6 linked regions of the Mus musculus genome follow. The protein of the gene in region 1 purifies or fractionates together with the protein of each later gene. This does not show direct contact. Links are inferred from orthologs where the notes say so. Each region holds a gene or a part of one and is shown on either strand. Other genes may lie near its edges.

Evidence for each region.
Region 2: the proteins of Hectd1 (region 1) and Zranb1 purify together in Homo sapiens (affinity purification with mass spectrometry; 5 studies listed by BioGRID and IntAct, with this or other methods). This does not show direct contact. The link is inferred for Mus musculus from reciprocal best matches to the Homo sapiens genes HECTD1 and ZRANB1.
Region 3: the proteins of Hectd1 (region 1) and Copa purify together in Homo sapiens (affinity purification with mass spectrometry, with the first as the bait; 3 studies listed by BioGRID). This does not show direct contact. The link is inferred for Mus musculus from reciprocal best matches to the Homo sapiens genes HECTD1 and COPA.
Region 4: the proteins of Hectd1 (region 1) and Zfp622 purify together in Homo sapiens (affinity purification with mass spectrometry; 4 studies listed by BioGRID, with this or other methods). This does not show direct contact. The link is inferred for Mus musculus from reciprocal best matches to the Homo sapiens genes HECTD1 and ZNF622.
Region 5: the proteins of Hectd1 (region 1) and Smc4 purify together in Homo sapiens (affinity purification with western blotting; 3 studies listed by BioGRID, with this or other methods). This does not show direct contact. The link is inferred for Mus musculus from reciprocal best matches to the Homo sapiens genes HECTD1 and SMC4.
Region 6: the proteins of Hectd1 (region 1) and Urgcp purify together in Homo sapiens (affinity purification with mass spectrometry; 4 studies listed by BioGRID and IntAct, with this or other methods). This does not show direct contact. The link is inferred for Mus musculus from reciprocal best matches to the Homo sapiens genes HECTD1 and URGCP.

Annotation. Positions count from the first base shown.
Region 1 is NC_000078.6:51,826,537-51,830,734, reverse strand, and holds the start of Hectd1 (E3 ubiquitin-protein ligase HECTD1), read left to right. Parts: upstream 1-1,445; 5' UTR 1,446-1,505; coding exon of another isoform or gene 1,506-1,880; intron 1,881-2,466; coding exon of another isoform or gene 2,467-2,550; intron 2,551-3,221; 5' UTR 3,222-3,243; coding exon 3,244-3,383; intron 3,384-4,198. Other genes in the region: uncharacterized protein Gm5785, read right to left, coding at 594-1,445, 1,506-1,880, 2,467-2,550. UniProt on the Homo sapiens protein: E3 ubiquitin-protein ligase which accepts ubiquitin from an E2 ubiquitin-conjugating enzyme in the form of a thioester and then directly transfers the ubiquitin to targeted substrates.
Region 2 is NC_000073.6:132,948,176-132,951,675, reverse strand, and holds part of Zranb1 (ubiquitin thioesterase Zranb1), read right to left. Parts: coding exon of another isoform or gene 3,468-3,500; intron 2,092-3,467; coding exon of another isoform or gene 2,055-2,091; coding exon 1,241-2,054; intron 1-1,240. UniProt on the Homo sapiens protein: Ubiquitin thioesterase, which specifically hydrolyzes 'Lys-29'-linked and 'Lys-33'-linked diubiquitin. Also cleaves 'Lys-63'-linked chains, but with 40-fold less efficiency compared to 'Lys-29'-linked ones.
Region 3 is NC_000067.6:172,099,529-172,103,028, forward strand, and holds part of Copa (coatomer subunit alpha), read left to right. Parts: intron 1-139; coding exon 140-239; intron 240-1,850; coding exon 1,851-1,986; intron 1,987-2,681; coding exon 2,682-2,764; intron 2,765-3,500. UniProt on the Homo sapiens protein: The coatomer is a cytosolic protein complex that binds to dilysine motifs and reversibly associates with Golgi non-clathrin-coated vesicles, which further mediate biosynthetic protein transport from the ER, via the Golgi up to the trans Golgi network.
Region 4 is NC_000081.6:25,983,024-25,987,165, forward strand, and holds the start of Zfp622 (zinc finger protein 622), read left to right. Parts: upstream 1-1,342; 5' UTR 1,343-1,526; coding exon 1,527-2,160; intron 2,161-3,774; coding exon 3,775-4,023; intron 4,024-4,137; coding exon 4,138-4,142. UniProt on the Homo sapiens protein: Pre-60S-associated cytoplasmic factor involved in the cytoplasmic maturation of the 60S subunit.
Region 5 is NC_000069.6:69,025,238-69,028,737, forward strand, and holds part of Smc4 (structural maintenance of chromosomes protein 4), read left to right. Parts: intron 1-586; coding exon 587-748; intron 749-2,255; coding exon 2,256-2,481; intron 2,482-2,581; coding exon 2,582-2,661; intron 2,662-3,207; coding exon 3,208-3,360; intron 3,361-3,500. UniProt on the Homo sapiens protein: Central component of the condensin complex, a complex required for conversion of interphase chromatin into mitotic-like condense chromosomes.
Region 6 is NC_000077.6:5,738,377-5,742,425, reverse strand, and holds the start of Urgcp (up-regulator of cell proliferation), read left to right. Parts: upstream 1-1,249; 5' UTR 1,250-1,315; coding exon 1,316-1,329; intron 1,330-4,049. UniProt on the Homo sapiens protein: May be involved in cell cycle progression through the regulation of cyclin D1 expression. May participate in the development of hepatocellular carcinoma (HCC) by promoting hepatocellular growth and survival.

The sequences.
Region 1 (4,198 bases):
AGTACAACAAAACAAAACAAAACACAACACAACACCAAATAAATGAGCTACCAAGCTATAAAAACTCACAGAGGATCCTTAAAGAGTGTTAGTGAATAATTCCAACTAGAAACGATATTTTGGAAAGGGCAAAACCATAAACAAAGAGATCAGTGGGAACTCTCTGTCCTTAGCCCTACCTGGCCAGGAACACATGATACAGAACAGGGTAGCCATAACTTATTCTCTGTACTTTCTGTTCAATTTGCTGTGGATCTAAAACTCTTCTAATGAAAACTTTTCCGGGTGTCTCTAATGTGCCGCCAGGGTTGAAAACTACTAGCCTCGGTCTTTGCATACAGTTCTTTCCTAAAATTAGGTATCTACTGCTATTTTGTTGTTGTTGTTCAAAGGATGAGTTCAGTATGGAGTCTTTTTCTTCCTCTTTTTCTCTCCCTTGGCTGCTCCTTCTTCATCACCACCGTCGCCGCCCTGTAGCCCAGACAAGTCTCGACCTCATTTTGTAGCCAAGGATGACCTTGAACTCCAGCCTCCAGTTCTCTAGTGTCACGGTTACGTGAGGACTCCACTAGCAGCGGCTAGTATTTGATTTTTCAACGCCCATGAAATAAAAGTTTGACGGGAATAACTACGGAAGTACAAGTGACCACGAGCCGAAGGCAACTGTGTGGGAAGTCCTCGATGCTGGCTGCTTCCCGGGACTCCACGGTGGGCAGGCAGGAGGCACGAGTTCCCGCAGCCGTCCTGGTCCCATCTGCGCCGAGGCGATAACGCCCGGCTGCGCAGCGCTCGCCGAGTTCCCAGGCTCGCTGGGAAGCGTTCTGGTAAACCGCTGGCTTTAAAAGTCCGGAGGAGGGGGTGACCCGGGCACGCCGAGCGCCTGCGAGACGGTGGCCTCCGTTCCGCAGGACTCCGGAGCGGCTCGCGCCGGGCGAGACGGGCGGAGCGTGCGCGGAGCAGCTGCTGGCGGCGCGCGCGGATTGACAGCGCGGCGACTCGGGCGCCGGGAGGCCGGGCTGAGGAGAGCCGTAGCCGACCGCCGAAGGAGCCCGGCGCCCCCCGTCGTCGCCCCGTGCCGCGGGGTCCGGCCTCCGCAGCGCCCCAGGTGGCCGCGGGCAGGGCGGCCGGGAGGCGTTCGCTCCGCCTCCGCCGGCGCGGCCTTCACCAGCCTCCCCGCCCGGCGCTCGGCCGACCCTTCTCCTGCCCCCGCCCGGCTGGCGATGGACGCGGCGTCTCCCCGCTGCCGCCGACGGCCCCGCGCGGACCTGGCTCTGAACCGCAGGGTCTGAGGAGCCGCGTGCTGGGGTCGGGACCCGCGCTGGCTGCCGCCGCTCGGGGGAGCCTCTCGCTTCCTTGTCACCGGGTCCCCGCGGAGGAAGGGGAGGGACGAGACACGGCTTTTCCTGTGCCGCCTGCCTGGCTCGACCTGCGCGGCCTGCGGTTTCCTAGGAACTCGAGGGCCGCGGCCGGGCCAGGCTCTGCCCGCGGCCTGCTTGGAGCTGGACCGGAGCTGTTTGGTACGGCGAGCCAGGGTAAGAGCCTGCGGTCAGGGTAGGCGGGGGCGCTAGGCGCTGTCGGCAGGCTGGGCCTGCGCGAGGATCCGGGCCGCCGAGTCCAGCGGCGGGCGCGGAGCTGGACCCCAGCGCGGTGAGGTCGGTCTTCCGCCGTCGCCTCTGCGTATCGGGCCCTTTGTTCCCCTCTCCGGGCCTTACGGGGCTTGGCTTGTTGGCTTCGGAGCTCCGGCTACGCGCTCCTTGTCCTTGGTAAGGCTCAGCCGCCCGGCGGGGACCGGGGACGTCCCGCTGGGCCTCCGAGTTCCGGGAGACCCGCACCCCAGCCGCTCGGCGGCTTCCTCTTGAGCTCGCAGGTTTGCTGCTTCTCTAGAACTTCGCCCTCCGCCCGGAGGCAGGTAGCTAACTTAGCCAGGTTGGCTGTCAGCGTCGCGGCTCCGGCCTTGATCAGGCCGAGGACGATGGGGCAGCCCCGCCGGGCGCGGCCGATGGGTGCCCACCGCGACCCGCCTCTAGGTTCCCACACCGGCAGGTGGATTGCGTGGGACGCAACGCTGTCCTTTGGTCGGGCATCTAGAAGCTTTTGTAATGACTTGCCTGCCTAGACTACTTCTCAAAAAATTTTTTACATAAAAACTAACTGCCCCATCCTATGGGAGAAAGAATGTCTGCCTGTCTGTCCGTCTGCCTGGGGGGGGGTGGTAACCTGTTAGTTGTATTTACTTTAGCATCAAGCCCCCCCCCCAAAAAAAAAAAAGTTTTAAGAACATTTGCCTAGATTACCAGAAGTTCTTATCAGTATTTACTTCCGCATAGGTAGATTTCATATCTAATTACTGTTTGTATTTGGGCATATTTTAGGAGTAAGTTTGAGAATTCAAAACTCGTGAGAAGGGAAATTCAATCCGAAGAAGAATTGGATTGGAAAGTGGTCTTTAAAACTACTGGATCTGACCCGTATCTGAAGCTCCGATTTTTGGTGGAGTTTGGGGGGAGGTTGCAGGAAGAAGTTGACTGGTAAAAGAACTTTTTTGTACATGTTTTTTGCCTTTTGGCACAGACATTGGTGATAACAGTACTGGGATCCAAAACTTGTTTCATAGTGTTTGACCAAGACAGCTCTGGTTTCTAGTTAACTAGCAACCTAATCAGCATATATTCATTCCAGTGTTAAACTGTTTTGCCTTGAGGGTTTTTGCATTAAGCCCAGGAAGTAGACTGCTGCATATGTAGCATACTTTTTGAAGTAATACTTTGCAGTTTGGAAAGTTTTTTTTTGTTGTTTTGTTTTTGTTTTTTCAAGACAGAGTTTCTCTGTATAGCCCTGGCTGTACTGGAAATCAGCTTTGTAGACCAGGCTGGCCTTGAACTCAGAAATCTGCCTGCCTCTGCCTCCCTAGCGCTGGGATTAAAGGAGTGTGCCACCATGCCCGGCTGGAAAGTTTTTTTTTTTAAAGCATATATATTTGCTTATTTTGTGTGTGTGCAAGTATGTGTGCGTGTGCATATCACAGTGCAATATGGAAATTGGAGAATAGCTCTGTATGTATATACATATACACATGCATGTGTGTGTGTGTGTGTGTCTCTTGAGGACCTGAGGACCTTACAGAAACTTGGTTCAAGCAGATGTACAAGAAAAAAGTCTTTACACAGGCTGATCAGTTCTGAACAAATGTTTGAAAAACCCGTTTCCCTTTTTCAATTTAGGCAAAGGAGCATTTTAAAGACAATGGCAGATGTAGATCCTGATACGTTGCTGGAATGGCTGCAGATGGGACAGGGAGATGAAAGGGACATGCAGCTAATAGCCCTGGAGCAGCTATGCATGCTGCTTTTGATGTCTGACAATGTGGATCGCTGTTTTGAAACGTAAGTGCATTCCTGCATCACCTTCCTCTGCGCCCACTGTGCTGACATCTGTTTCCAGCTATTTGCTGACTTCAGTTTGTGTGAAAACTTTGCTAGGGAACTTTAAAATACCCCTTTAGACATTTCTGCAGTTGTCTGTGGTTCATGGAACCCTAGTAATGATAATCGTGATTATGTAAATACATATTTGTTCAATGAGTGTGGATTAGGAATACTAACCATAGCTTGGTTGAGTCAGTTATGAACCATCTCATAAATTAAAAAGATTATAAATGTTTATCTTCTTTAAAGCTGTTTTTGTATTATATGACTTGGAGAATAAGGTCAGAACTACCTGTTTCTTTGGTTTTCATGTGTCATTGCTTTTGTTAAAATAACTTCGGTTAATACATTTCATTTGGATATTTCCAATACTTTTTGAAGTACAGAAGCTTTGAAGTTGTGTGTGTGTGTGTGTGTGTGTGTGTGTACTTTCGTGTATGCTATGGTGTGCATGTGGAAGTCAGAGGACAACTTTTTGGGAGTTGATCTCTCATTTTAGCATGTGGGTTCCAGGATTAAACTCAGGTTCTCAGGCTTCGTGGTAAGTACTTTTACCAGCTGAGCCATCTCACTACCCAAATTTGGAGAGTTTTAAACAGTTGTATCAGAGATGATACTAGAAAGTTTGCATAAAAATATGAAAGGCATTACTCTACTAGCTCGGCACTTAGGCCATGATTTTCCTCTTGTGTGATTCTGGTTCAGTAAAGGAATAAACATTTCTCTGAGTTCATCTGAGTTGTGAATTCCAATAAGTCACTAAAACCTTTTAT
Region 2 (3,500 bases), on another chromosome or scaffold:
TACTCATGGGGCTACATCCAAAAGGGTAAATCAATGGGGAGTGGAAGGTAGCTATGGTTCCACATCAAGTTTAACCTTATAAACCACTCAAGTATTTCTAAACAAAAGTGAACACCAAAGTAAGCAGCCCATAGAAATAGTTTAAATAAAATCCAAACACCTGCTGAGCACTGGGGGCGCACGCCTTTAATCCCAGCTCTTGGGAGGTAAAGGCAGGGATTTCTCAGTTCGAGGCCAGCCTGGTCTACAGAGTGAGTTTCAGGACAGCCAGGGCTACACAGAGAAACCCTGTCTCAGAAATAAATAAATAAATAAATAAATAAATAAATAAATAAATAAATCAAACACCTAATCTACTAATGGGAGGGGAGACTTAAAATCAAATGAACACCTTCAGATGGGAGGATTCTGTGAGTTCAAGGCCAGTCTAGTCTATATAATGAGTTCCAGGACAACCAAGGTGAAAGCCCCTGTCTCAAATAAAACAAAACAGAATTAACAGCTTTTATGATTTATAGCACAAATTATTAACTCATTAAGCTAGTAGATGGAGAAAAACTTCCTCTTACATGTCTCTGTCCTTTAACATTTCTACACAAACAGCCAGGCCCAACATTATGTTTATGAAAGAACTAAAAACACAATACCCATAAGTCATAATCTGAACTATGGATTCGAATTAGCTGTCTGTGAAATCAGTTCTACCAAGTGTATAAATATTTACGACATGACATTCATATTAAGTTAACATCAGCATTTTCAAGGTCAATAAATATTATGTTCGTTCAACTTCTTGGAGTCACACATTTTTATGATATTTTTAACTTCTGACTAAAGCCTCTATCATCACAAGATGCTCACACTGTTTACAAACATTCAGAAACAGCAGCTGGTGTTGCTCTGTCACATCTTGTTACAATAAATAAGAGAAACAATTTCAAACTCCAAGTATATACTTTCTCACAGATGTGTTAACAGTCTCTTTAACTTAAAAAGCATGTTCACAAGTAAATGTGGACACTTTGGTACAAGGCAGACAAGGTCACAGATACAGAACTTTATGCATGCATACATGAACTATCACACCAAATAAGTCAAATGCGAAGTAATACTGATCTTCCTCTTATTTTCAAGCCATTTCAATGCCTTTTCCCATCTTATTCAAAATAAGGCCAAAAAAGCCCAAACGTATGAACAAAAAACCCAAAACACACAAATAAACAAAAACCCAGAAACTTACCCACACAGGCATTGAGGAATAGCCAATCAGTCTTTTTCATCCTATTTTTAATCTGCTTTAGTTTTTTAAAGTCCACTTCAAGTTCCTCCTTGGTACCAACAGCACCAGCCAATTCGATCCTCTGAAAATCCATCTTCACTTCCGAGTCCCGTTTTGTAGTTGGAGGTGATCTTCTTTGGCTATTACCACTACTGCAGCCTCCCCTCCATCGAGCTCTGTCTTGCTCATTAATTATTGAAGAAGCCTCTTCAGTCTCTGCCAACTCTATTGCTTCAATGTTATTAGGTCTGGGATGGTCACAAACAACACATTTTTTAGCCTTAGCCCAGTTTTCATATGTGCAAACAGAACAAGTCCAATGCTGGGTCCTTGTATTCAATTTATTTCTATCATTGTATTCTTCACAAGGATCAACAGAAAAAGCAACTGGTCTTGAACCAGATCCTGAGGATTGAGGAGATTCTGTGGGACTCCTGGTCCTACGCTGGGATAAGCACTGGGTACATCTGATTGCTCTTGGCCAGTTCAAATATGTACACATGTGGCATGACCATTTATTTGCATTTTCCATGCTGTATGAAGACTTAACCCTTGGTCTTGCACTAGAGTCTGGACATATCAAAGGACTACTTCCACCTTCAGTACTGGAAGGATCCCAATCTCTACCAACATCACTTGAACCACTTTTAAATGGATCTTCTGTAATAATTGTTCCACTGGGTCTCTGGGCACGACACATAGTACACTTGATTGCAGACGGCCAGTTTTCATACGTACAATATTCACAGGCCCACTTAATCCCATGTTCTGACATTGTGTACTTCTTGAAGTGAGTTATGTCAGGCAGGAAGCTATAAATAATTAGGACATTGTTATTAAAATAATAGCTACATAATTCCATCTCTGAAAATATGCCCCCGAAATAAAAAATACCCTTCAACTTAGAAAATATATATTTCTTAAAAGACACATGTAAATTTCTTATTGGATTATTCTACTTTTGTTTGGAGATTTCCAAAAATAGTAAAGATAAATTTCCAAAAAGAGCTCTTAGACTTCAGGGTTTAATAAAAGTTTACTTTGGACTGCTGAAGTGATAAAAGGAGATGAATGCAGAGTCTTTCTACAGGGAAAGAAGATAAAAATAGGTGAGTCACTAATAGAAATTACTTAATTTCAGCTCAGCTGTCACCATTAGTTTAGGAAAAGTTAAAAAGACTTGCAGGCAAGAGAAAAAACACAAACCAAATAGAACCTTAAATAACCACTCACAAATTGCAAACAATGTAGACTGTGCTATTTGTAGTATGTCTAATCCGTGATTTCAGAAGCTCAAAGTCTTTCCTAATTATCCTTGCTAAGGGAGGAAAATAGCTTGAAAGTGCTAGTTATTCACTGCTTTGAATTAGCACAGACAGAAAATATGCTGATGAGCTCTAATCACAATTAACAAAATAACTTTATAAACTAGAAATGATTCTGATATTCTGTATTCTCAAAATATAATTATATTTGGAACATTAAAAGTTCTACGTTACTTATACTCTCAAGAAATTCAAATGGACAGATTTCTCTAAGAAAACTATTAGCATAAGCATGCCAATCTATTTCTAAATGTTCATATTTGATATCTGAAAAATTAACATACACTAAAATGTTTACTTTATATTAAAAATATACTTGCTATCTAAGAAGTCCTAGAAGTGGGAGGGCTGGAACATGCCTGTAATCCTAGCACCCAGGAGGCTGAAGCAGGAGGATCTTGAGATTGAAGCTAGCTTGGGCTACGTATTGAGAAACAAATAAGTCAGTCAACATTCCCAGGACTCTAACCGTGGATTTACTAACACTACACAATAATGAAGACTTTACTATTTAATGACAACTAATTCATAAGTGAAGCAGTTTATATGGCAAACTTAATGATATTTTAATGACTTAAATTAGAACACTAAACAACCTCTCAATTTTTCAATCTGTTCTAAACTTAGTACTTCCCTATGACCTATTTTAACAAGGAAAAGAGAAAAGGTTCCTAGGCAGAGTGATAGGTATTTCTCCTTCCTAAACCTGGAAAGCCAAATCACTTTATAAGTGTATTTATTCTGTTCCTGTCTATTAAATCTACACCCCACATACACAGTGACGTTTGCTAAGAGGACAACTTCACCATAGAAAGGATACTGTTGGATAGCTAAAATTTAAAAAAAAAAAAATTCACACTTACTAAGATTTTAGTTTCCATGCTATAACCTCCACC
Region 3 (3,500 bases), on another chromosome or scaffold:
CACCTGTAAGGCCCTGACTTTGATTGCCCGTATCACAGAAAAAGAAACAGACACATTTTGTTATAAACACTAGCATGGTTTTCTTTGAATTGTGTTTTTACAGCTGTTGTAGAAGACCCACTTTTTCTCTTTTTAACAGGGTCATGACCGTGGAGTCAACTGGGCTGCCTTCCACCCGACTATGCCCCTTATTGTATCTGGGGCAGATGACCGGCAAGTGAAGATCTGGCGTATGAATGGTGAGTAAGGTACTGGCGATGTTGCCATAGCCAAGAAAGTGGCAGCCAGCCAGCAAGGGGAAGTAGCCAGGTTTTCTGGACTTTGGCCTATTTTTCTGCCTTAGGCCTTAGTTGATTATTTACTGCTATTCCTAAGTGCATGATCATTGTCTCTTCCTCCCCTCCACACCCCTCATGGCAGTATCTTGATTTTGAGAGATATGAGCATAGTCAAGAGTAAAAGTTCATGTGACAAATTGTGAGTAGCTGCTTTGTTTTAGACTGTGTTTAGGGCCATATTTATATTATTGTGACTCAAAATTTCCATGATATAGAGTTTATATTTGTTCTCAGAATCAGCAAGTAATACATATACTATGTGGATAAAATAAGAGTAGAAGCATAAAGAATTATTTAATATAGCTGTTACAGTCAGTAGAGGTACATAATAAAAGAACAGAGATGTACAGAAAAACAGGAATTTTGGAGCTGAGGTAGCTGTGGCTACTCAAGAGGCTGAGGTAGGGGCTGGTGAGATGGCTCAGTGGGTAAGAGCACCCGACTGCTCTTCCGAAGGTCGGAAGTTCAAATCCCAGCAACCACATGGTGGCTCACAACCACCCGTAATGAGATCCGATGCCCTCTTCTGGTGCTGTCTGAAGACAGCTACAGTGTACTTTACATATAATAAATAAATTAATTAATTTAAAAAAAAAAGATTTCCTAAAAAAAAAAAAGAGGCTGAGGTAGTACAATTCCTAGGAGGTCAAAGGTAGCCTGAGCAACAGCAAAACCTTGTCTTGACACCCCCCCCCCCCCGCAAAAAAAGGTTCAAGTAACTAAAAAAAATAAACATAAAATAAAGAGGAAGAAACTTACATGAAAAACATTGTCCCATTTGGGGAAAATTGATTTAGCATTTTGCAATAGTACTTAGCACTTGCATTTAAAGAGCATCATCACAGCTGTCCATGACAGTATAGCTTTGCAATGTCTATCAGCATGACGATATAGCCTTGCAGAGTCAGCATGCATGTACATGACAGTACAGCCTTGCAGTATCAGCATGACGGTATAGCCTTGCAGTGTCAGCATGCATGTACATGACAGTATAGCCTTGCAGTGTCAGCATGCATATACATGACAGTATAGCCTTGCAGTGTCAACATGACGGTATAGCCTTGTAGTGTCAGCATGCATGTACATGATGGTATAGCCTTGCAGTATCAGCATGCATGTACATGATGGTATAGTCTTGCAGTATCAGCATGCATGGCTGAGGCAGGAGGATCACAAGCACAAGGCCGTCCTGAGCCATATAGCAAAACCTTGTCTCCTCAAAAAGCTGGGGCTAGAGATGGCTCAGTGGACCCACAGAGGGCTGAGTTTGGTTCCTAGCACCTATGTCAGGCAGCTCACAGACATCTGTTACTTCAGCTCCAGGGGCCCAAGGGCTGCCTTCTGGCCTCCACAGATACTACACTCAGATGCAAAAAACCACATACAGATAAATACACACAAAACTAAAAACACAACTAAAATCTTTTTTTTTTTTTTAAAGAATGGGTGTTGGATTTATAGATCCCAGAGTTATTACAGAGAATTGTGATAACAATTCCTTTTGTTCTTCAGAATCAAAGGCATGGGAGGTTGACACCTGCCGGGGCCATTACAACAATGTGTCTTGTGCTGTTTTTCACCCTCGCCAAGAGTTGATCCTCAGCAATTCTGAAGACAAGAGTATTCGAGTCTGGGATATGTCTAAGCGGTAAGGGAATTATTTATGTCATGTGACCAAACCCAAGAGAAGGACCCTTTCTTTGTCTTATCCTTTGTCTTCGCGCGTGCGTGCGCGCACACACACATACACACACACACACACTCCTTATGCAATATTAATATCTGTAAAAGGAAAGGAAAAAATTAGAATACTTCTTTTTCTCTTCAGCATGATGAAAAACCAAGTCCTGTGTTCTGAAGTTCTAAGGCTGTATTGCTTAGTGGTTAAAGTGCTTGCCTGTCATGCATGAGGCCATAAATGTAATCCACACTGCTGTAAAGCAGTAAATAAATAAATAAGCAAGCAACAGCAAAAACCCTTAGAGACTAAAATAGCAACAATATTTTTTAGGTACAAATCTCCCTGTATTCTTTTTCTCCTCTAAATTTGAGTATATTTTTTTCTTCCCTTCATTGTTCAGCTAAAGAGGTAGAAATGTGAACTAAAAGTACATTAGGAGAGACAAGGGAGAAACTGGCCTGCCTAGGCCTGGGTTAGTGTGAAGCCTTCCCTCCCACTGTGTTCCTTGTGGGTGTGGTCCTGATCCTTAGCTGAGTGCACAGCATTCCCTGTCTCCAGTGCACTTGTAAAGTCATCTTCCAGGCCTGCTACTCACTTTCCTTGTGCATGCTGTACTGAAGAGCCTTGATTAACGGTTTCTTCTGTACCTTTTGGTTTTCTAGGACTGGGGTTCAGACTTTCCGTAGGGATCATGATCGCTTCTGGGTCCTGGCTGCCCATCCCAACCTTAACCTCTTTGCAGCAGGTAAGGACCATTTCTTCTTCTCGCTCCTGGGATTTAGTTGAAAGTTTGTAGATTTCAAAGTGATTCTTCCTTAGCTTTGTCTCTTATAAGTGGTAATAGGAAAACAAAGAGAAGCAGAGTTTTCAGAGCCACCTACCGGAAGCTTTTCTCATTCTCATCTCTTACTTTTGGGAGATGGAGCTCTTTAGTGATCTTCACCATGAAGCTCTGTTTGACCTTAAGCTCATTCTCTGTGATGTGCTTTTAGGAGCTCATAGGAGACTAATAGTGAACATTTAGAGTTCTCAGAGTGAGAACGTAGAAGCCAAGTCTACTTCATTCATTTGTCAAATACATAATAAAATATCAGCCCATGCTCTTTATGCTGGTGTCAGAGCAGTGCATAAATACTGCCTGCCTTAGTGGAGCTTTAAGGGAGATGGTCTGTAAACTCTAAGTATAGAAAGTGATGTGTGTTTGAAGATGCCTTGAATAAAAAGTCAAGGGAAGGGAGGACGATGACAGTGGTGGCCTACAGGCTTATAGTGGGTATTCAAGAACGTGAACATGAGTGAGAAAAGGGAGACTGTGCTGTCACAGGCTGCTTTCCTAGTTTGTATGAGGTCCTGGGTTCAAGAAAGAGAAGGAAGACCAGGGAGATGAGTGACAGAAAACTATTTGGAAAAGGTTTTTAAAAACTGTGAGTTTAGGAATGTATTTAGGGGGGGGGGTATGGCGGACTTTTGGGATAGCATTG
Region 4 (4,142 bases), on another chromosome or scaffold:
CCCCCCCAAAGGCATTTGGGCAAAGGTTTACAAAAGGGAGCAAGCTGGCAGAAAGATATTCAGGCAGAATAGCATAGCAACGGATTTCTAACACAATACCAAAAATATACTTGCTTAACCTGTTAGAACAATTGACATTGAATCAGGGTGAGTTAAAGGCAGGGATAGAACAGAGGATTTGCCAGGCAGTGGTGGCATACGCCTTTAATCCAAGCACTTGGGAGGCAGAGGCAGGTGGATTTCTGAAGGTCGAGGCCAGCCTGGTCTACAGAGTGAGTTCCAGGACAGCCAGGGCTACACAGAGAAACCCTGTCTCAAGAAAAAAAAAATCGAACTGATATGAATTGCTGCTGTTATACACACAGGGTCTCCAAGGTTTAGTACCCACGATGGAGCGTAAAATCACAGATAGATCCTTTTAAAGTTTTAGATGCTGAAAGAGTATTTCGATCATTAAAAGCAACTTCACCTAGTTTGACTTTTTTGTTTGTTTGTTTTTATTAGGTATTTATTTCATTTACATTTCCAATGCTATCCCAAAAGTCCCCCACACGGTCCCCCACCCACTCCCCTACCCATCCACTCCCACTTTTTGGTCCTGGCGTTCCCCTGTACTGGGGCATATAAAGTTTGCAAGTCCAATGGGCCTCTCTTTCCACTGATGGCCAACTAGGCCATCTTCTGATACATATGCAGCTAGAGACACGAGCTCTGGGGGTAATGGTTAGTTCATATTGTTGTTCCACCTATAAGGTTACTTTCTCTAGCTCCTCCACTGGGGGCCCTGTGATCCATCCAATAGCTGACTGTGAGCATCCACTTCTGTGTTTGTTAGGCCCGGGCATAGTCTCTACTTTGACTTTTTATATGGCTACTTGGATTTAAAAATCTCACATGTGGCTCGGATTATATTTTGTGGGACAGTGGCTAGGCTGTACTTTCGGCTCCCAGCAGGGAATCTTTTCTGTTCAAGAGCTCTGACCGCCCCCTTCGCTGCAAAGAGCTTGGGTCGGTTTGGCCTCCGGAAGTTCCACGCTGTCGCCACGTTTGATCCCCCTTTCCAGAGGCGCGAGAGACAGTCTTGACGGGATCCATCTCTCAAGAGCAGTCCCAGAACCATCCCAGGCACCCACGCCCTTCTTTCCCTCACAAGCCCATCCCTCTGACCTCGTCACGGCAAGCGACACAACCGCTAAGCCCTCAGGAGGCAGCGGCATCCTCCAGGCACACGCCCACCTTTGATTGACAGGGCGGATCCAGGCGCGAAGAGAGCGACATGAAACTTCGTCATTTCCGGGGACCCAGGCGGGCCTTCTTAAGCCAGCTGCCAAGAGTTTCCTGTGCGAGTCGGAAGTTCCCTCACTTAGAACTCGGAAGTTCCCTCACTTAGAGCCCGGAAGCTGGTGTCTGGTGTGTCTTTTCCTGGCTGTGGGCGAAGGAGGTTCTCTGCGTTTGTGGGACTAGAAGGCGGCCGGTCAGGCTTAGAAGGTTCTCGGCTGGGTCGTCTCTGTCTTCCGGGCCCGGGGATGGCGGCTCTCACGTGCATCACCTGCCGGGTGGCGTTCCGCGACGCGGAGCTGCAGCGGGCGCACTACAAGACGGACTGGCACCGCTACAACCTGCGGCGCAAGGTGGCCGCCATGGCCCCGGTGACGGCCGAGGGCTTCCAGGAGCGGGTGCGGGCGCAGCGCGCGGTGGCCGAGGCGGCGGAGGCGAGCAAGGGCGCGGCCACCTACTGCACGGCGTGCGGCAAGAAGTTCGCCACCTTCAACGCCTACGAGAACCACCTCGGCTCCCGGCGGCACGCCGAGCTGGAGCGGAAGGCGGTGCGGGCCGCGAGCCGGCGCGTGGAGCTGCTGAACGCCAAGAACCTGGAGAAGGGGCTGGGCGCGGACGGCGTCGACAAGGACGCCGTGAACGCCGCCATCCAGCAGGCCATCAAGGCCCAGCCCTCCACGTCCCCCAAGAAAGCGCCCTTCGTGCCCACGGACGAGTGCGGGAGGGCGGCGGCGGGCGCACGGGGCGTCCCGGAGCGAGACCCGACGGAGAAGCCGCCCCGGCTCCAGTGGTTCGAACAGCAGGCGAAGAAGCTGGCGAAGCAGCAGTGGGAGGACGGAGAGGAGGAGGGAGAGGAAGAGGAGGAAGACGACGAAGACGAAGGTAGGTAAGGGTCCTGTCGGGGTTGGGGCGAGCGGGAGGCTCCGGGAGACATCGCGATGGAGACGAAGGGCTGGGTCCACGTTCAGCGATGTCGCCCTCCCCTGAGGCCCCCAGCCCGAGCCTTCTTCAGTGTTTACCTTTGCGACATCCATTCCCAGGCTGGACCCTGACTTTCTTCTTATCCTTTTACCGCAGCCTTTGAGGGAGTGGGGTTCCAGGCCCAGGGCATCCCGCCTGGATTTAAAGATGTTTCCTGGTTTATGACTTTTAACTAGTTAAGCAGATGGATTGTAGGCCTCCATACTTTTTTGGTGTTTTTTTGGTTTTTCGAGACAGGGTTTCTCTGTGTAGCCCTGGCTGTCCTGGAACTCACTCTGTAGACCAGGCTGGCCTTAAACTTTAGAAATCCCCCTGCCTCTGCCTCCCAAGTGCTGGGGTTAAAGGCGAGTGCCACCACTGCCGGGCTGTAGACCTCCATTCTTATGCTTGCTCCCGGACGCACCAAACTTCGTGTGGACCCGAAAGGGAACAGTATTTGGGGATTTCTATAGGACATTTTAGAGTGAGGGCAGAAGTGGTTTAAATGCCTCACTGCTCTTCATTTCCACAGGGCACTTTGTCTGTCTGCGTCTCTGTGGTGGATCCAGGACCTAGGGCATTGATTAAAAACAGAATAAAAGAGTAGAGGCGCATTCTTAACGGGCAAAACATTCTTTTAGTTTGGATCAGGAAGGGTTACACTGGTGCACAGAAAGCTATGCTGTTGGCACGCTGCTGTAGAATGTGTGGTTAGAATGGCTTAGGATTTTACATTTCACTTAGTTGACTAAAACTGAGTGAGGGTTTCGTGTTGCCTGCAAGCCTGACTTGTGGGGCTCCAGCCAGCCCCAAGGTTCCTTACTTTGTGAGTTCTTTATTCACCCCCACGGCACTGTTGATACTGACAGTGTTTGTGTTCATGTCTTGGTCGGTTTATACTTCTGTAACCAAGCATCTTAAGCCTGGTAATTTATAAACAACATGAACTTATTTTGCCACAGTCATGGAAGATGAAGTAAAAAATGAAGCTACTGGCACCCTGACTGTTTAGTGAGGGCTTGCTCTGTGGAGGGGTATTTTTCTAAGCCTTACTTAATGATGGAAAAGGCAGATCTAGGGTGTGTACTCATGGAGGGGGAGCAAAACACAAAAAAGGAGACTTGCCAGTTCATTTAAGTCCTTTTCTTAGGACATCAACTCACTCATGAGGTTCCTAGAGGTCCCATGTGTTACATTGGTGACTAAGTTGAACTTGCATGGACACATATAAACAGAAGCATTCATATAGCAGCCCTGCACACACCAAAATATACACTAAAGTATTCCTGTGAAGTGCAAATGGTAGACAGCTACTGAACCAGATAGGAATCCAATTAACTTGGTGTCCAGTACTGGGCTAGGTGCAGTAATGCATAGGAAAGAGGTTAGCAACTATTTTATAGAGCTTCCTGCTGGAAAAGAAAGATTAAAGAGGTTTTTATCATTTAAACTTGTCTGGGGGTATTTGATCTCTGATTGTGCTTGCTTTATCACACCTTTAAAAGTAAATTTATTTTTCAAAACTTTGGCTTAAAGATTGGGAAGATATTGATTCCGATGATGGATTGGAATGTGAGGACCCTGGAGTGGAGGATCAGGATGCAGAAGATGCAGCGGCTGAGGAGAGCCCACCCCTAGGTGCCATCCCAATAACAGACTGCTTGTTTTGCTCCCATCATTCAAGCTCCCTCGTGAAGAATGTGGCTCATATGACTAAAGTCCACAGCTTTTTTATTCCTGATATAGAGTATCTTTCAGATTTGAAAGGACTAATTAAATATTTGGGTAAGTACAATGATTTTGCTTTTGATGAAGAAATATTTTTCAATTTGTGAGAGTAAGTAGTGAGATTTAACCTGACTTCTAAAGATTGATTTCATATTATTTCCACATGACCAGGAGAG
Region 5 (3,500 bases), on another chromosome or scaffold:
CTGATATTAGATGGCTCCTACCTTATTTTCTTAAAGAAATGATCCTGAGTATTTGCTGTTAATAGATTGCTTCATAGCTACTTACATAATTTTATGCAACTTTGACTAAGTTAAGAGAATTGTTTAGCTTATACATTCTTTTAGGTCTTATATCCACATTATATATTTCATGAAATAAATCAGTTCTTATATCAATCCTGTGCCCAGTACAAATTCACATTGCATATTCATAAACACTAAAGGGTAGATTACAATAGAAATTGTAGGGCATGGGATATAGCTCAGTGGTAGAATGCTTGCTTAGCACACATTAGTGTCCGTTGGTTCTCCTATAGAGAGGGAAGAATAGTTGGCATAAGAAGGGAACCTTGTAGGTCATTCCCCTTTTATACTTCTTTAAACCAAGTGTACTTATTAGTCTTCCATTAAGAGTAAAAATAGCATTCAAAGTCTTGGGGACATGTACCACTGTACAAGGGGTCTGGTCAGTCTTCGGCTACAGAAACCCAATGCGGTAGGGAAGAATGGTCAAATCTGAATAGTAATGAAATGATCTATTTAGTTGTTTACTCCTTTTCATTATTAGGGAGACTTAGGAGCTATTGATGAAAAATATGACATTGCTATTTCATCCTGTTGCCATGCATTGGACTACATTGTTGTTGATTCTATTGATACAGCCCAAGAATGTGTAAACTTCCTTAAAAAGCATAATATTGGGATTGCAACTTTCATAGGTTTGGATAAGGTAAGTATTCATAATAAACTTCCTATAATTTAACTTTGAGGTGCCATATATTTTTCCCTTAAAATTTCTAATTTTTCTTCACCACTATTGGCCCCTTTTTTTTTTTTTTTTTTTTTTTTTTTTTTTTTAATTTAGGTTGTGTGTACATGTTTTGGGAGGTTAAAGGGTAAAGTTTGTAATGCCTTGACTAAAAACTTCCAGTTGTTATGGTGTTGTCCAGTGGATGGATGATTGTTAGTATGTTTCTGTTTGAGGGTGGGGACAGGAGGTTCAAGGCAGGATTTCCTTGTATAGATTGGCTGTCCTGGACTTTGCTCTGCAGACCAGGGTGGCCTGGAACTCCTCCCCATTGCCCTGAGAGTATAGGTGTGTGCTGCCACCACCTGGCTCTATGTTTCTGACTTCTATCACTAAGCTGTTTCTTCATAGAACCTTTATGGAGATGTTGTGTAATTGTATTTTAAAGTAGAACTCAATTATTTTCACTATATCTACAAATTTGCTGATGAATGGCTGTTATCTAATTCCAGACTATTTTTATCACTCCGTAGGCACTGCCCACACTTTTACCCACCCTCAGCTACAAACATTGACATGTACCTATCCTTCATTTGTCTTTGTTCTGGTCTGTTCATACTTCTTGATTGCCTTGACAATAGTGCTATAGCAAAGACTGATGCAAAAAATGTTGTGTAAATGTAAGTGCATACCTAGGAATGGAGTTGATTACTGGATCATATGGTGTATTTTATTGCAGTACATCTTCATAGATGTAAGGTGATAGCTAACTACTTTCATTTACATTTCCCTAATAACTGATATTAAACATTCTTTGTGCTTATTGATCGTTCATCTTTCTTGGGGAAACCTTTGCCATTTTTCATTTGTTTTATTGGATTGTTAAAAACCCTTTAGATTTTAAGGCTCTTGTCAGGTGCATCTTTTAAAATATGTTTTAATTTAAACTTAACAATTGTGACTTTCTTGATTATGTATTTTGAAGCACAAAAGATCTACTTCACAGTAATTTTCTTTAGCTTCTTGGGTAGAAGATGAGTGTGTGTGTTTAGACAGGGATGCTAATGTGTCCTTGGGTAACTAAAACTTGGTGTCTGTACCACACTAACTTTGAACTTGGAGCAATCCTCCTCTCTGCTTTCCGAGTGGCTGTGAGGGCTGTGAGTGCTGGATGTTTCTGAGTTTTAGGGATTTCCACTCTTACGTTTAGATGTCCAATGCATTTCGAGGTTTTAACTTAATGTTAAGTTGTGTGTTGATACTATATAGATATAAAATTAAAATGGGAGGAATTTAATACCATGGTAAGATTTTATTTAGGAGCTGGGTGATGGTGGCACATGCCTTTAATCTCAGGAGGCAGAGGCAGCTGGATCTCTGAATTGGAGCCGACAGCTAGGGAAACCCTGTCTCAAAAACAAAAATTTTATTTAGGGTTATAATACCTAGGAAACATTGCTTATTATGTGCACAATTTTATAACTTTTAGATGACAGTGTGGGCCAAAAAAATGAGCAAAATTCAAACTCCTGAAAATACTCCTCGGTTATTTGATCTAGTTAAAGTGAAAAATGAGGAAATCCGCCAAGCCTTTTACTTTGCTTTACGAGATACCTTGGTGGCTAACAATTTGGATCAAGCTACAAGAGTAGCGTACCAAAGAGACAGACGCTGGAGAGTAGTGACTCTGCAGGGACAGATCATAGAACAGTCAGGTGAGTCGGGTTCTTCCTCCCCTACTGGTTGGCTTTGGTTTTTCGTTTTTGTTTTAATCTTGGGTAAAGCATACAAAACTGACTTGTCATATGTTCCCAGGTACAATGAGTGGCGGTGGAAGCAAGGTGATGAGAGGAAGGATGGGCTCTTCGGTTATCGATGAAATCTCTGTAGAAGAGGTTAGCATGGTCCAAATAGCCGTCACCTCCTAGCCCTCTCGCTGGAAATCCACATATGCTACTACTTGTAGCTCTTAGTTTTGTCTTTATGTTTGAAGCTGGGAGGTTTTCCTTTTTTTTTTTTTATGTTAATGGATATTATGTCCATACCATATGCATGCTTAGTATCCCAGGAGACCAGAAGAGGGTATTGGATCCCTGGAACTGGAAGGTTGTGAGCCACTATATAATGGCCAGGAATCAAACTCTGGTACTCAGAAGTGCTCTTAACTGCTGCATCAACCCCAGGGTTTTTCATTTCATAAGCTAACCTTGAACTCTGGAGGGCGGGCAAGATTGTTGAGAGGGTGGGTAGAAGCCCTTCCTGCCAAGCCTTACTACCTGAGTTCAGTCCATAGAAGAACCAATTCCTACAGGCTGTCCTCTGACATTTCTTATGTATGCCAAGGCATGCATGTGGCTACACACACCACAGTATTAATAATACAAGAAATTTAAGGGCTTTGTGACACTTGGAGAAAATTGTATTTCTTTTATTCTTTGAAGGTAAATAAGATGGAATCCCAGTTGGAAAGGCATTCTAAACAAGCAATGCAAATCCAAGAACAGAAAGTACAACATGAAGAAGCAGTAGTTAAGTTACGGCACAGTGAACGAGACATGAGAAATACACTGGAAAAGTTCGCTGCAAGCATCCAGGTATTGTGTTTGTGTCAGTGACTATCAGCTGGGTCTGTTACAGCTCAACAGCAATTGCAAAGAAGCATTTTGAGCTTGCTTAAATTTTGAAATATAAAAGATGATTAAGTATATTTCTTAGTATGTACTTCGGCTGTCTT
Region 6 (4,049 bases), on another chromosome or scaffold:
TTAAGATTTATTTATTTTATTATCTGTAAATACACTGTAGCTGTCTTCAGACACTCCAGGAGAGGGCGTCAGATCTCATTACCGATGGTTGGGCGCCACCATGTGGTTGCTGGGATTTGAACTCAGGACCTCTGGAAGAGCATTCAGTGCTCTCAACCACTGAGCCATCTCTCCAGCCCGGTGTTTAATATTCTTAGTGGTGAAGAGAATACTATCTCAATGTTGGGCCCTGCCCCGCATGGTGGTGCACACTTTTAATCTCAGCACTCTGGAGAAAAAGCAGGCAGGTGGAACTCCATGAATTCAAGGCCATCCTGGTCTACACAGCAAGCTCTTGGCAGGACAGTGTTAAACAGAGAACCTGTCTCAATGAAAATAAAGAAAAAGAACTTGAAGGTAGGAAGGTGGGGAGGAGCTGGGAAGGGAAATTATAGTGACACATAGTTTGTATTTTTTTTCTCATTTTCTCAACAGTTCATTACTACCGTTTGATTTGATTTTACTGGTTATGAGTTCTGAAATGACATGATTGGACTAATGCTTTTATGTCACAGAAAGGAAAATGCACTGTATGAAAAAAATAAATTGAAAAAACAACTTAATGTGATAACACAAAAATGCCACCAGCAGTGGTTTGCACTGCATAGTCCAGAGTTTGTTTCTTTAAATTAGGTATTTTCTCTTAAAAGATATAATTTGTCTTTGAAACTAATTTAGCAGGGGCTGGAACCAAGCCTCAAAATTTTACATGCCTAAATATTCATAGCTTGTAGGTGATTCTGGGAAACCCCACTGCACAAGTTCTAAACTTTTTATTTCTATGTAATACAAGATAAGGCTTAATATACACACTTAAAAAAAAAGTGGGAAACCAGCTCAGAGGCCAACATTACTCCACCCCGCTGCGAACTAGTAGCAGGAGAGATGTTGTTTTCCTTTAGAACAGCAACACTGTACACCCCAGAGGTAGAGGAAAGTGCGTTTCTTACAGAAATTAACATCAGAATGCGGGGACTAGAGGGTGGTGTCCAGCAGTCTGGCAGCTGTCAGTGGCCCCAGGGCAGGTCTGGCTCCGCAGGTGAGTTCCAGCCTCCGGGCAGCGGGCCGGCCTGGCCGGTGGCTGCCGTAGGTAGTGCTCTGGGCCCAGGGCGTCCTCTCCCTCGCCCCAGGCGCCCGCCTGCCCTCCACTGAGCTCAGCCCACGGCGCCCGACGCCCTAACGGAGCGGGCGGGGGCGGCCTACAGGCCCCTCCCCGGCGCCCGGCGGCAGCCGCGCAAGCAGCGGAGGAGGCGGGAGCGCCCAGGCCGCTGCGCTCATGGCGTCGCCGGGGTGAGTGAGGCGCTCCGGGTGTGCGGGGGGCGCCTGTTGGGCGAGGGGCGGGCGGAACTGTGCGTGTCCACCACCCGGCGCCCCCTTGGCCTCGGCCGGACCCCGGCTGACTCTGTCCCGCCAGGTGCCTGTCCACGACCCGCGGCCTCCCCCGCCGACCTTGGGCGGTCGTAGCCGGGCCAGGGTCTCCCGGCAGGGCCGCGGGCAGGACCAGCCAGGACAGCGGCCGGTCAGGGCCGGAGAAACGGGTTCTGGAGAGGGGCAGCAAGGAAGCTGCGGGAGGGGACTCGGGGTCCTAGGGCTCGGCTGAGGCCGCAGAGCGGCTTAGCAGGCCTGACGTGTGTTTCTGGCGTTTAGACTTGCTTGCGTTGGAAGTTGATGCTTGGGTTCACAGTCATTAGGGGACATCCCCAGGCTGTCCCACGTCAGGGCAAGTGGGGCTCAGCTGGACTGGACCCTTGTCCAGAGTGAAAAAGCGGATTCGGGATCTAAGACTGCCTGTGTTGGGGTGGGGGTGGGGGTGCTTCTGTGGGATGGCTACACTTGTTCTGGTATTACCTCTTTCCTAGTGCTCGTTCTCTCTCCCAAATAGTGTTCTTAGGAAATTATATAGTGACACATAGTTTGTATTTTTTTCTCATTTTCTCAACAGTTCATTACTACCGTTTGATTTGATTTTACTGGTTATGAGATCTGAAATGACATGATTGGACTAATGCTTTTATGTCACAGAAAGGAAAATGGGTCTCAAGGTCATCGCTATAGGTGGTAAACATCTTTTTGACTGTACGCCATCATTCAGAGGGTCTCAGACCCAGTAGTACTGGTAGCAGCCCACGCTGTGTATCATTGCAGTTAGAAGACTTACAGGTGCAGGAGGACTTCTGGGGGAAGCATGTAGAAGTTAGCTCTCCCACAAAGGCAGACTTCACTATGCTAGGGAGTGATTTGGCTCGGTACAGTGGTCTGAATGAAGGTGAATGAAGCAATCTGAACTTGATCCAGGCCTGCAGGCGCCAGTCAGATCATGGGCAATTTCCACCTGCCTAATGCCTTTCTAGGCTCGAGGGCAAGCAGGCACTTCTGAGACCAGGCCTTTTTCAATGCCAGCTGGGTATCCAGTACTTTGAGCTCATAAGGAGAATAAACTGTGATCCATCCTGGGCAGGCCAGGCTTTGGACCCAGAGGGCCAAGGTCCCTCTACATTCTTGCCCAGCCTCATAGGAAAGTGTAAGGCAGTGTTTGAGCCTGTGGCAGCTGCCATTAGGCTTGTAAGACAGCTTAGTACATTTTGTGTCTAAACACACTGCTTTGTAGACAGGGGTTGGAGGAGGATCTCCTAGGATTAATAATTCTGTGTGCCTGGACCCACAGAATTATGGTATTGTCTGATAACAGAATAGTGTAATGCCTGAACCATGGTCTGTATATATAGGTGGTATTAATATTTGCGATTCTAGTTGTGAGTGATCCAATTAATTTGTAATATTAATAGTAATCTGTAATTTCCTAAGGGGTGTCTATTAACAAAACTGAGGTCACAAAACTTTTAGTATACTCCATTTAAGGAGAAATCTATGCTTACTTTGATATGCATACACTACTATATTAGGTGTTTTAGAGAGCAAATATAGATCAATACATGGCAGAAATGGAAGGAGCTGTTCTGGGGAGGGGTGTCTCTACATTTGATTTTTTTTTTTTTTTTTTTTTTTTTTTTTTTTTTTGCTAAGTAGCAGTGTCAGTGATCTATGATAGAACTAGAGAGGAAAGAAAAAAAAAACTCTTAACTTGTTTTGAGTACCTTACAGATGTGCTAGGCATAGTGTCAAAGAAAGAAAAGATGTGTTTGAGAGATGACCCATAATCCACTGTGTCTTGAGCTAAATAAATAGAAGAGAAGGCAGGGACCGTGGACTCTTTGCCTACCACTAAAGGGCATCTCCAGTCGGCCTCACCACAGCTGTCTCTGGGGGAATCTGGTAAGCATTGTAGAGGAGAGGACGCGACACAGTCCATCTGTCCATCTGGCCCCTTCTGAGCAGGTCCCACCCTTTACAGGTGGCCTAACCAGAAGCACTTTAGTTCAGTCCTCAGCACCACATAAACTAGGCTGTAATTCTAGCACTCTGGAGTAGAGGCCAGGTGATCAGATGGTCAGCACCATCCTCTGTTAGAAGACGTCAGCTTGGAATGCATGAGAACCTGTCTTAAAATAAAAATGAACTCTGGAATGTTACTGTCGGTTCTAACAGCACTTACGATTGCCCGCTGCCCAGAGGAAAGGCAGGGAGATGCCTGCCAGCCTTGCTCTCACTCCCACCTACAGAGATCTTCCTGTTTAGCCTTCTCTTTGATAGTTTGGGTTTCCTCTGTCAGCCATCTCTGCTCATCTCAATACAGATTCTGCATTTTCATGGCTATTTCTGTGGACTTAACTGTTGATTCACAATTCACATGTAGGTTTCTAGGAGTTTCTCTGTTCTTTGAAATATTGTATGCAGTGTTAGGGTGATGTTTATGGTCCTGGAAACAAAATCTAGCTATTGTTGGGCTCAAGACAAGGTATGACTATGTCACCCAGTCAGGCCTTGAATTCATGATCCTCCAGCTTTGGTCTCTGGAATGCTGGGATCGCTGGCCTTCTTTCTCCCTGTGCTCAAAAGCATTCTCATTCTTAGCAGGGTCGCAGGCCATCCTAGACTCCTAGACTGTGTGT